Macaca mulatta: one gene and its partner. Each later gene encodes a partner of the first gene's protein in a complex. Links are inferred from orthologs where the notes say so. Each region holds a gene or a part of one and is shown on either strand. Other genes may lie near its edges.

Region 1 (3,720 bases):
AAAATTAGCCGGGCATGGAGGCGGACGCCTTGTAGTCCCAGCTACTAGGAGGCTGAGGCAGGAGAATGGCGTGAACGCAGGAGGCGGAGCTTGCAGTGAGCCGAGATCGCGCCACTGCACTCCAGCCTGGGCGACAGAGTGAGACTCCGTCTCGAAAAAAAAAAAAAAAAAATTAAAAATTAGCCAGGCGTGGTGGTGTGCACCTCTAGGCCCAGCGGCTCAGGAGGCTGAGGTGGAAGGATCGCTTGGGCCTGGGGGGGTTGAGGCTGCAGTGAACTATGATCGCGCCACTGCACTCCAACCTGGGCAGCAGAACAAGAGCGTGTGTCCATAATAAAAAGAAAGAAGTCCGGCACAGAGGAAGAGAAGATTAAGGGGAGACGGTGGCAGTAAGCAGAGGTGGGAAATCAGTTATCTCTCCCCGTCAAATCCTGCAGCCAGTTCCCTCCGAAAGTGTTAAGGGGCTCCCGTTCCAGATATCAATGTTTTGGAGGAAACGAAAAGCCCTAACTTCAAATCGCCACCATTCGCTGGCAAAAAAAATACAGTAAGCAGAAGACAGGAAATTGAGGCCTTCCGCTGACGCAATGAAGCCAAGACTGACGTCACGTCCGCCCAAAACAAAGCAGCCCGGCAATTTCTAGATACCGGGCGGACCCGCCTTCAAAATTAGCAACTGAGCATGCGCGAACGTCAATATGCCGGGAACGTGATTACATCAGTGTCAGGCGCCGGCGTATCTAAATAGAACTCAGTTTACGCAGACGCAGAAAACGCAGGCAAACCTGAGGTCCTCAGAATGGCGGGCACGGGTTTGGTGGCCGGAGAGGTTGTGGTGGATGCGCTGCCGTATTTTGATCAAGGTTATGAAGCCCCTGGTGTGCGGGAAGCGGTGAGTGCGGGGTGTCTTTGTAGCTGACTCACTGTTCGCTGGCTCGGTACCGAAAGAAACATGTTACAATTTGCCGCTTCTACCCTGGCCCCAATTCTCTTTCTAAGGCTGCAGCGCTGGTGGAGGAGGAAACTCGCAGATACCGACCTACTAAGAACTACCTGAGCTACCTAACAGCCCCGGATTATTCTGCCTTTGAAGTAAGTATGTCTTGAGCCCGGGTATGAACGAGGATTCCTGTGAACCTTTATTTTGGATTGAGAGCTTCAGCTACGTAAAAGTGATTTTTAAATTCCAGTTTTAACCATTGCCTGCATAGGTACCAGTCTGTTGAAAACAGCTAGATAGATAAGTCTTCTCCGAGGTTCTTATTCTAAGATCCATAGGAAGACTTTCTGGGACTCCACGACTCACTTAATGCAAAAATTTGTGGCCACAATTCTTTGAGATAGGATCCATGCGTAAATTCTCAAAGGGACCCTCTCCTGCCAAGAGTCACTCTACAGCAGGTGATCTAGAATTTTTTAGTATGTATAAGCCTAATTACCTAAGCTCTTTAGAACCACTGGAGAGTGGCGTATTAAAGTCTAGTTATTTACCAAACGTTTGTGGTATGACTGAAGGGACAAACCATATCCAAGTGTATACTACTCTTTTCTCAGCCTTCTCCTTTTTTCTATAATCTGTCCGATGTTTTTATTAACACAGTTCTGATTAATGTAGGCAAGAACTTTCCCTGATACGAATACTTTCCAAGTGCTAGGTGCCATTCTAGATTCTGAAATCATAGAGATAAAAATATCTGGGTTTTAAAAAAATATGTATTTTGCTGTATTTTAATTTTTCTTTTCTTTATTTAAGACAAGCATCGTCTCCAAAAAAAGATAGGGTTTCTGAATACAGAAAAATACAATACAATGAGGAGCTAGATATATAAAACAGAAAGTTTACAATAGTATGTATAAATGTGTAATAATATGTAAAGGACCTGTAGTGGAGGTATATATAAGGACAAGAGAATTAGAGAAAGGAGTGCCCATGCTTGCCTAGGGAGTCAGATGCTGTTCTACTGCACACAGTGAGTATGATACTATTTTAAATGTATAACCTTGAAGTACACCCAAGATTCTAGTTAGGGTCTAATTAGCTAAGTGAAATGTAAGTTATTTCTAAATTATTGGATTCAAGTATTTCAATATGTACAGCTTGGAGGTTTTTTTCCCATTATACCTAATCGTTTATTTATGAAAGGATTGTATTATTAAAAGGCAGTACTTAGCTGGGTGTGGTGGCTCACACCTGTAATCCCAGCACTTTAGGAGGCTGAGGTGTGAGGATCACTTGAGACCAGCCTGTGCAACATAGTGAGACCCTTTCTCTACAAAAGAAAAACTAAAAAATTAGCCAAGCATGATGGCATGCACCTGTAGTCCAAGCCACTCAGGAGGCTGAGGTGGAAGGATCACTTGAGCCTGGAAGTTCAAGGCTGCTACAGTGAGCCATGATAATACCATTGCGCTCCAGCCTGGCGACAGACTGAGATCCTGTCTCAGAGGGAAAAAAAAAAAAAAAGATATTATTTACATTAAAGTAACATGAAAAAATAGTTAAGTTTGTTGTTTTTGTTTGAGACGGAGTCTTACTCTGTCACCCAGCCTGGAGTGCAGTGGTGCCATTTCTGCTCACTGCAACCTCCACCTTCCGAGCTCAAGTGATTCTCCTGCCTCAGCCTCGCGAGCAGCTAGGATTACAGGTGCCAGCCACCATGCCTGGCTAATTTTTGTATTTTCAGTAGAGATGGGGTGTCACCACGTTGGCCAGGCTGGTCTTGAACTCCTGGCCTCAAGTGATCCGCCCACCTCATCCTCCCAAAGTGTTGGGATACGGGGTGAACCACCACGCCCTGCCTTGGCTAAGTTTTAAGTAGAAGACATATGTTTCTATGAACGTGTTTTCCTATGCTTTTTCCAAATATTGTTACCTAGGTGTAGATGTTAACCACGTTAAGAACTAAGTACAGTGGCTCACACCTGTAATCCCAGCACCTTGGGAGGCTGAGGCGAGTGGATCACGAGGTCAGGAAATCGAGACCATCCTCTACTAAAAATACAAAAAATTAACTGGGCATGGTGGCGGGTGCCTGTAGTCCCAGCTACTCAGGAGGCTGAGGCAGAAGAATGGCCTGAACCCGGGAGGCGGAGCTTGCAGTGAGCCAAGATGGCGCCACTGCACTCCAGCCTGGGCGACAGAGCGAGACTCCATCTCATTAAAAAAAAAAAGAGAGAGAGAATTAAGTACAGTAATGCTTCTTGGACTGATTTCTGACGTTTTCAAATAACTGCATTCAATCACAGACTTCTTATAATACTTTTGCCAGTTTTTTTCCTTCTCTCAAATACCTTTGTAATTAGTTTACTGATTATTTAATTAGCAAACTCCTGGGTTCAAATGATTCTCCTGTAATTAGTTTACTGATTATTTAATCCTTTCTTTTTTTGAGACAGAGTCTTGCTCTGTCACCTAGGCTGGAGTGCATGCAACTCCTTGGCTCACTGCAACCTCTGCCTCCTGGGTTCAAGCGATTCTCCTCCCCCAGCCTCCCAAGTGACTGGGATTACAGGCATGCACTACCATGCCCAGCTAATTTTTGTATTTTTAGTACAGACAGGGTTTCACCATTGTGGCCAGGCTGATCTCGAACTCCTGACCTCAAGTGATTCACCTGCCTCGGCCTCCCAAAGTACTGGGATTACAGGTGTGAGCCACCACACTTGGCATCCTTTCTTAGTAATAGTTGGTAATGTATACTGGGCTCACTGTCTTTCTTG
Region 2 (3,650 bases), on another chromosome or scaffold:
TACTAGCTTTTTTCTGCATTCTCTAGGCAGGGTTACTAAATTCTTGATGCTACTTCAGGATTCAAAGTACCTGTCTGAATTCCTTCTCAGCATCTAGTAAGGACCAGGCAAAGTAATATATAAGAAATGCTCAGCAGTGACTGTAGCTAATTAACAACCATTCTTAGTTAACGCACTGTACAAAAACAGGCAGTAGGTTGGATTTGGCTCATGGGCTGCAGTTTGCTAACTTCTGCTGTAGGAAAAGATTAAGGGTCACTGTCACTGACCCAGAGTTTGACCTTAAACAATTCTTTTAAACCTTTCAGTCTTATCTTACATGGATAGCAAAGGAAGACAAGGTAAATGTATAATAATATTATCTAATATTGTTGCTTACTCTGTGCCACACAGTGTGCTCAAGAAATGTTTGTTGAATGAGTGAGTCTTTAACACCTTTTCTTTTTTTTTTTTTTTTGAGATGGAGTCTCCCTTTGTCACCCAGGCTGGAGTGCAGTGGCACAATCTCAGCAACCTCCGCTTCCGGGGTTCGAGTGATTCTTGTGCCTCAACCTCCCGAGTAACTGGAACTACAGGCGTGTGCCTGTATTTTTAGTAGAGATAACGGTTTTTCCATGTTGGCCAGGCTGGTCTTAAACTCCTGACCTCAGGTGATCCACCCATCTTGGCCTCCTGAAGTGCTGAAGTGCCGAAGTGCCCAGTCAGTGTTTAACACCTCAAACTGAATTTCCTGTGTTACAGATAGTGGGCATTATGTGAGACATCGAAAGTGATATACACAAAAAGAAACATGTGATTACAGGCCCTTAATCCTCATTGTAATCGGGGAGATAAAGTGTGTACTGTGGCCGGGCACAGTGGCTCACACCTGTAATCCCAGCACTTTGGGAGGCTGAGGTAGGTGGATCATGAGGTCAGGAGATCGAGACCATCTTGGCTAACACAGTGAAACCCCGTCTCTACTGAGAATACAAAAAAAAATTAGCCAGGCGTGGTGGCATGTGCCTGTAGTCCCAGCTACTCAGGAAGCTGAGGCAGGAGAATTGCTTGAACCTGGGAGGTGGAGATTGCAGTGAGCTGAGATCGTACCACTGCACTCCAGCCTGGGCGACAGAGCGAGACTCCATCTCAGAAAAAAAGGTGTGTACTGTACATTTAACCCAGAAAGATCAATGGCAGAGTGAGGTGGGGTATAAGAGCCACCGGAAAGTAGTGACAGTGAATGTGAAACCCCTGGGGACTGAAGTTGTTGCATTTGTCTCTTTGTACCAGGAGGAGCCATTGGATGAAAGCTCAGTGAAGAAAATGATCCTCACATTTGAAAAGAGATCATATAAAAACCAAGAATTGCGGATTAAGTTTCCAGACAATCCAGAGAAGTAAGGTTCTGTTCTACTGACACCCTGTCTCCTCTGTGGCGTTTCGTTGGCTACTTTTGTTTTGGGTTTGGTTTGTTTTGGCTTTTGTGATTGGGGCCAGGAATCCCAGGATGACCTCCATGTTTGGGAATTCACTAGAAGGACTCCTAGGACTCAAAGTCAGTGATACTCAGGGCTGTGGTTTATTACACAGGGCACACAACGGGATCAGCAAGGGAGAAACACAACATCAGGTGGCGTCTGGAGAAATTCAGATCCAGGCTTCCTATGTTTTTTCCTTCCCAGTGGGGGGGATCATACAGACATGCTTCTTTCTTCAGCAGTGAAATGCAAACATGTGTGCAGTGATACAGATTGAGACTCTGAGTTCAGGGTTTTTATGGAGGACTGCTCATGTAGGCATTCTCTGCCAGTAATAACTAACACAATTGTAGGCTCCTGGAAGGAAAGCAGCTGTTCAGTGCCCTGGGCTGACAAAGCAGCAACCTTATCACTTAGGGAACATTTCAAAAGCCAAGTTCCTGGCTGCCAGCCTAGGGCCAGCCTTGTAAGCCAGCCCTTTTCAAGATCAGCCCTGCTATGTTAACTCTCCTGCATTATTCTTTTCAATGCCCAAAGAAGACGGATCGTGCCTGCCATTAGTGATAGCTTTACTGTGGAGATCATGTCAAAGACTCTGAAGTTAGACAAATATTGGTGTGATACACACATGCCTTTGAATAAGTCACTTCCCCTTTCTTAGCCTTGGGTGTCTCATCTGTATAAGGAAATAATGCCTTCCTCACAGAGTTGTATGAAGATTAAAGGAGAATAATGGTAAGTGTTTAGCTTAGTACCTGGCACATAGTAGGTGCCCATGAGATGACAGTTAACGTGAGTTTTACTGCACTAGCACCTTGGTGCACTGTGAAGTGCTAATATGAGGAATCTGGCATCTTTCAGTCTGTCTTGAATCCTAACCAAGGGGACTTTCACATTTATACAGTTTTAATGTTCTAAACCTCTCTTTCTCTCCCTATCTTTGTCCCTCCCAGGACATACAATTTTAATGAATCTTAATATGCCCAAGGCCCCCAGGCAATTAACAGTTGAGTAGTAAAGTCTTTGCACTCAAGTTTATAGGTTACTAGGGAGACTGACTATAAAGGCAAGGTAGAAGGAAACAGACACTTGAAAAGAGATATGAGCAGAGTTCTGTGGGTGCTTAGAAGAAGAAACAGTATATACCAAGTTGGGAGCTATTGAGGGCGTCACAGAAAAGATAGTAGTTGAGTTGAGCCTTGAAGATTCATTTTTATTAGGCAGAAAAGAACACAGAAAGGCATGCCAGGCAATATGAGGAGCATGAACAAAGGCCCAGAGGTGTCAGAGGGCACAGAGTCTTCACGGCAACCTAGTGAGGCCAGCGTGGTCAACTGTGTTGTCCCTATGCTGTGAATGAGAAGGCAGGGTGGGGAGAATGTGGTTACTGGGCCTAGGGCCACAGCCCTCTTTGATAGTAGGAATAGCTATTAATAGAGCAGGGCCCAGCTTACCCAGCACCAGAGTCCTTTCAGGTTTTGTACTGATCTCCACCATACAGGAGCACTGTGTGTGTGTGTGTGTGTTTGTGTGTGTGTGTGTAATTACACGAGTAATGCATGAATAGATTGTCATTCTGAAAATACCAGTGGTACATGAGTAGAGTGAAAAATGAAAGTTCTCCTTCACTACTCTGATCTCTTTCTATTCCTCTGCCTAGAGGAACCTTGTGAACAGTTAATTATGCGAATGTATTTGTTTCTACTCAAATCACACCGTACATATTCTGCACCTTGATCTTTTGGGTCATATAACAGATCTGTCCATGGTAGTACAGGCATGTCTACCTTGTGTTTTTTTTTAACTGGTGCATAGTATTACATGGTTTGGAAATACCATGACTTATTTAGTTATTTTCTATTGATGGACATTTTATTATTTTAAATATTGACTTTTATGAAGAATGCTATAGTGTACCTACTTGTATATGTGTCTTTGTGTGCATATGTTTCCGTAGGATAGATACGTAAATTTGGAATTCCCGGATTGAAGGGTATGTACATTTTAATGATGGCTACTGCTAATTTTCTCACTCTATTTTTAAATTCTCCTCCAGCAGCAGCATCTCTTTTCTTGTGTTCTTGCCCACAATGCATGTGATCAGTCTTTAACATCTTTGCCATTTGTTTTGTTGTTATTTCTGTACTCAGTGGTTCCTGCATTATACTCTGTTCCTTTTAGGAGATGGAC

What was found. The genes of interacting proteins can lie anywhere in the genome.
Region 2: BCAS2 (region 1) and CTNNBL1 share a complex: the UniProt entries of both Homo sapiens proteins name them as parts of the PRP19-CDC5L splicing complex. The link is inferred for Macaca mulatta from reciprocal best matches to the Homo sapiens genes BCAS2 and CTNNBL1.

What each region holds. Positions count from the first base shown.
Region 1 is NC_133406.1:125,671,755-125,675,474, forward strand, and holds the start of BCAS2 (pre-mRNA-splicing factor SPF27), read left to right. Parts: upstream 1-775; 5' UTR 776-799; coding exon 800-892; intron 893-999; coding exon 1,000-1,092; intron 1,093-3,720. UniProt on the Homo sapiens protein: Required for pre-mRNA splicing as component of the activated spliceosome. Component of the PRP19-CDC5L complex that forms an integral part of the spliceosome and is required for activating pre-mRNA splicing.
Region 2 is NC_133415.1:90,599,194-90,602,843, forward strand, and holds part of CTNNBL1 (beta-catenin-like protein 1), read left to right. Parts: intron 1-1,272; coding exon 1,273-1,379; intron 1,380-3,650. UniProt on the Homo sapiens protein: Component of the PRP19-CDC5L complex that forms an integral part of the spliceosome and is required for activating pre-mRNA splicing.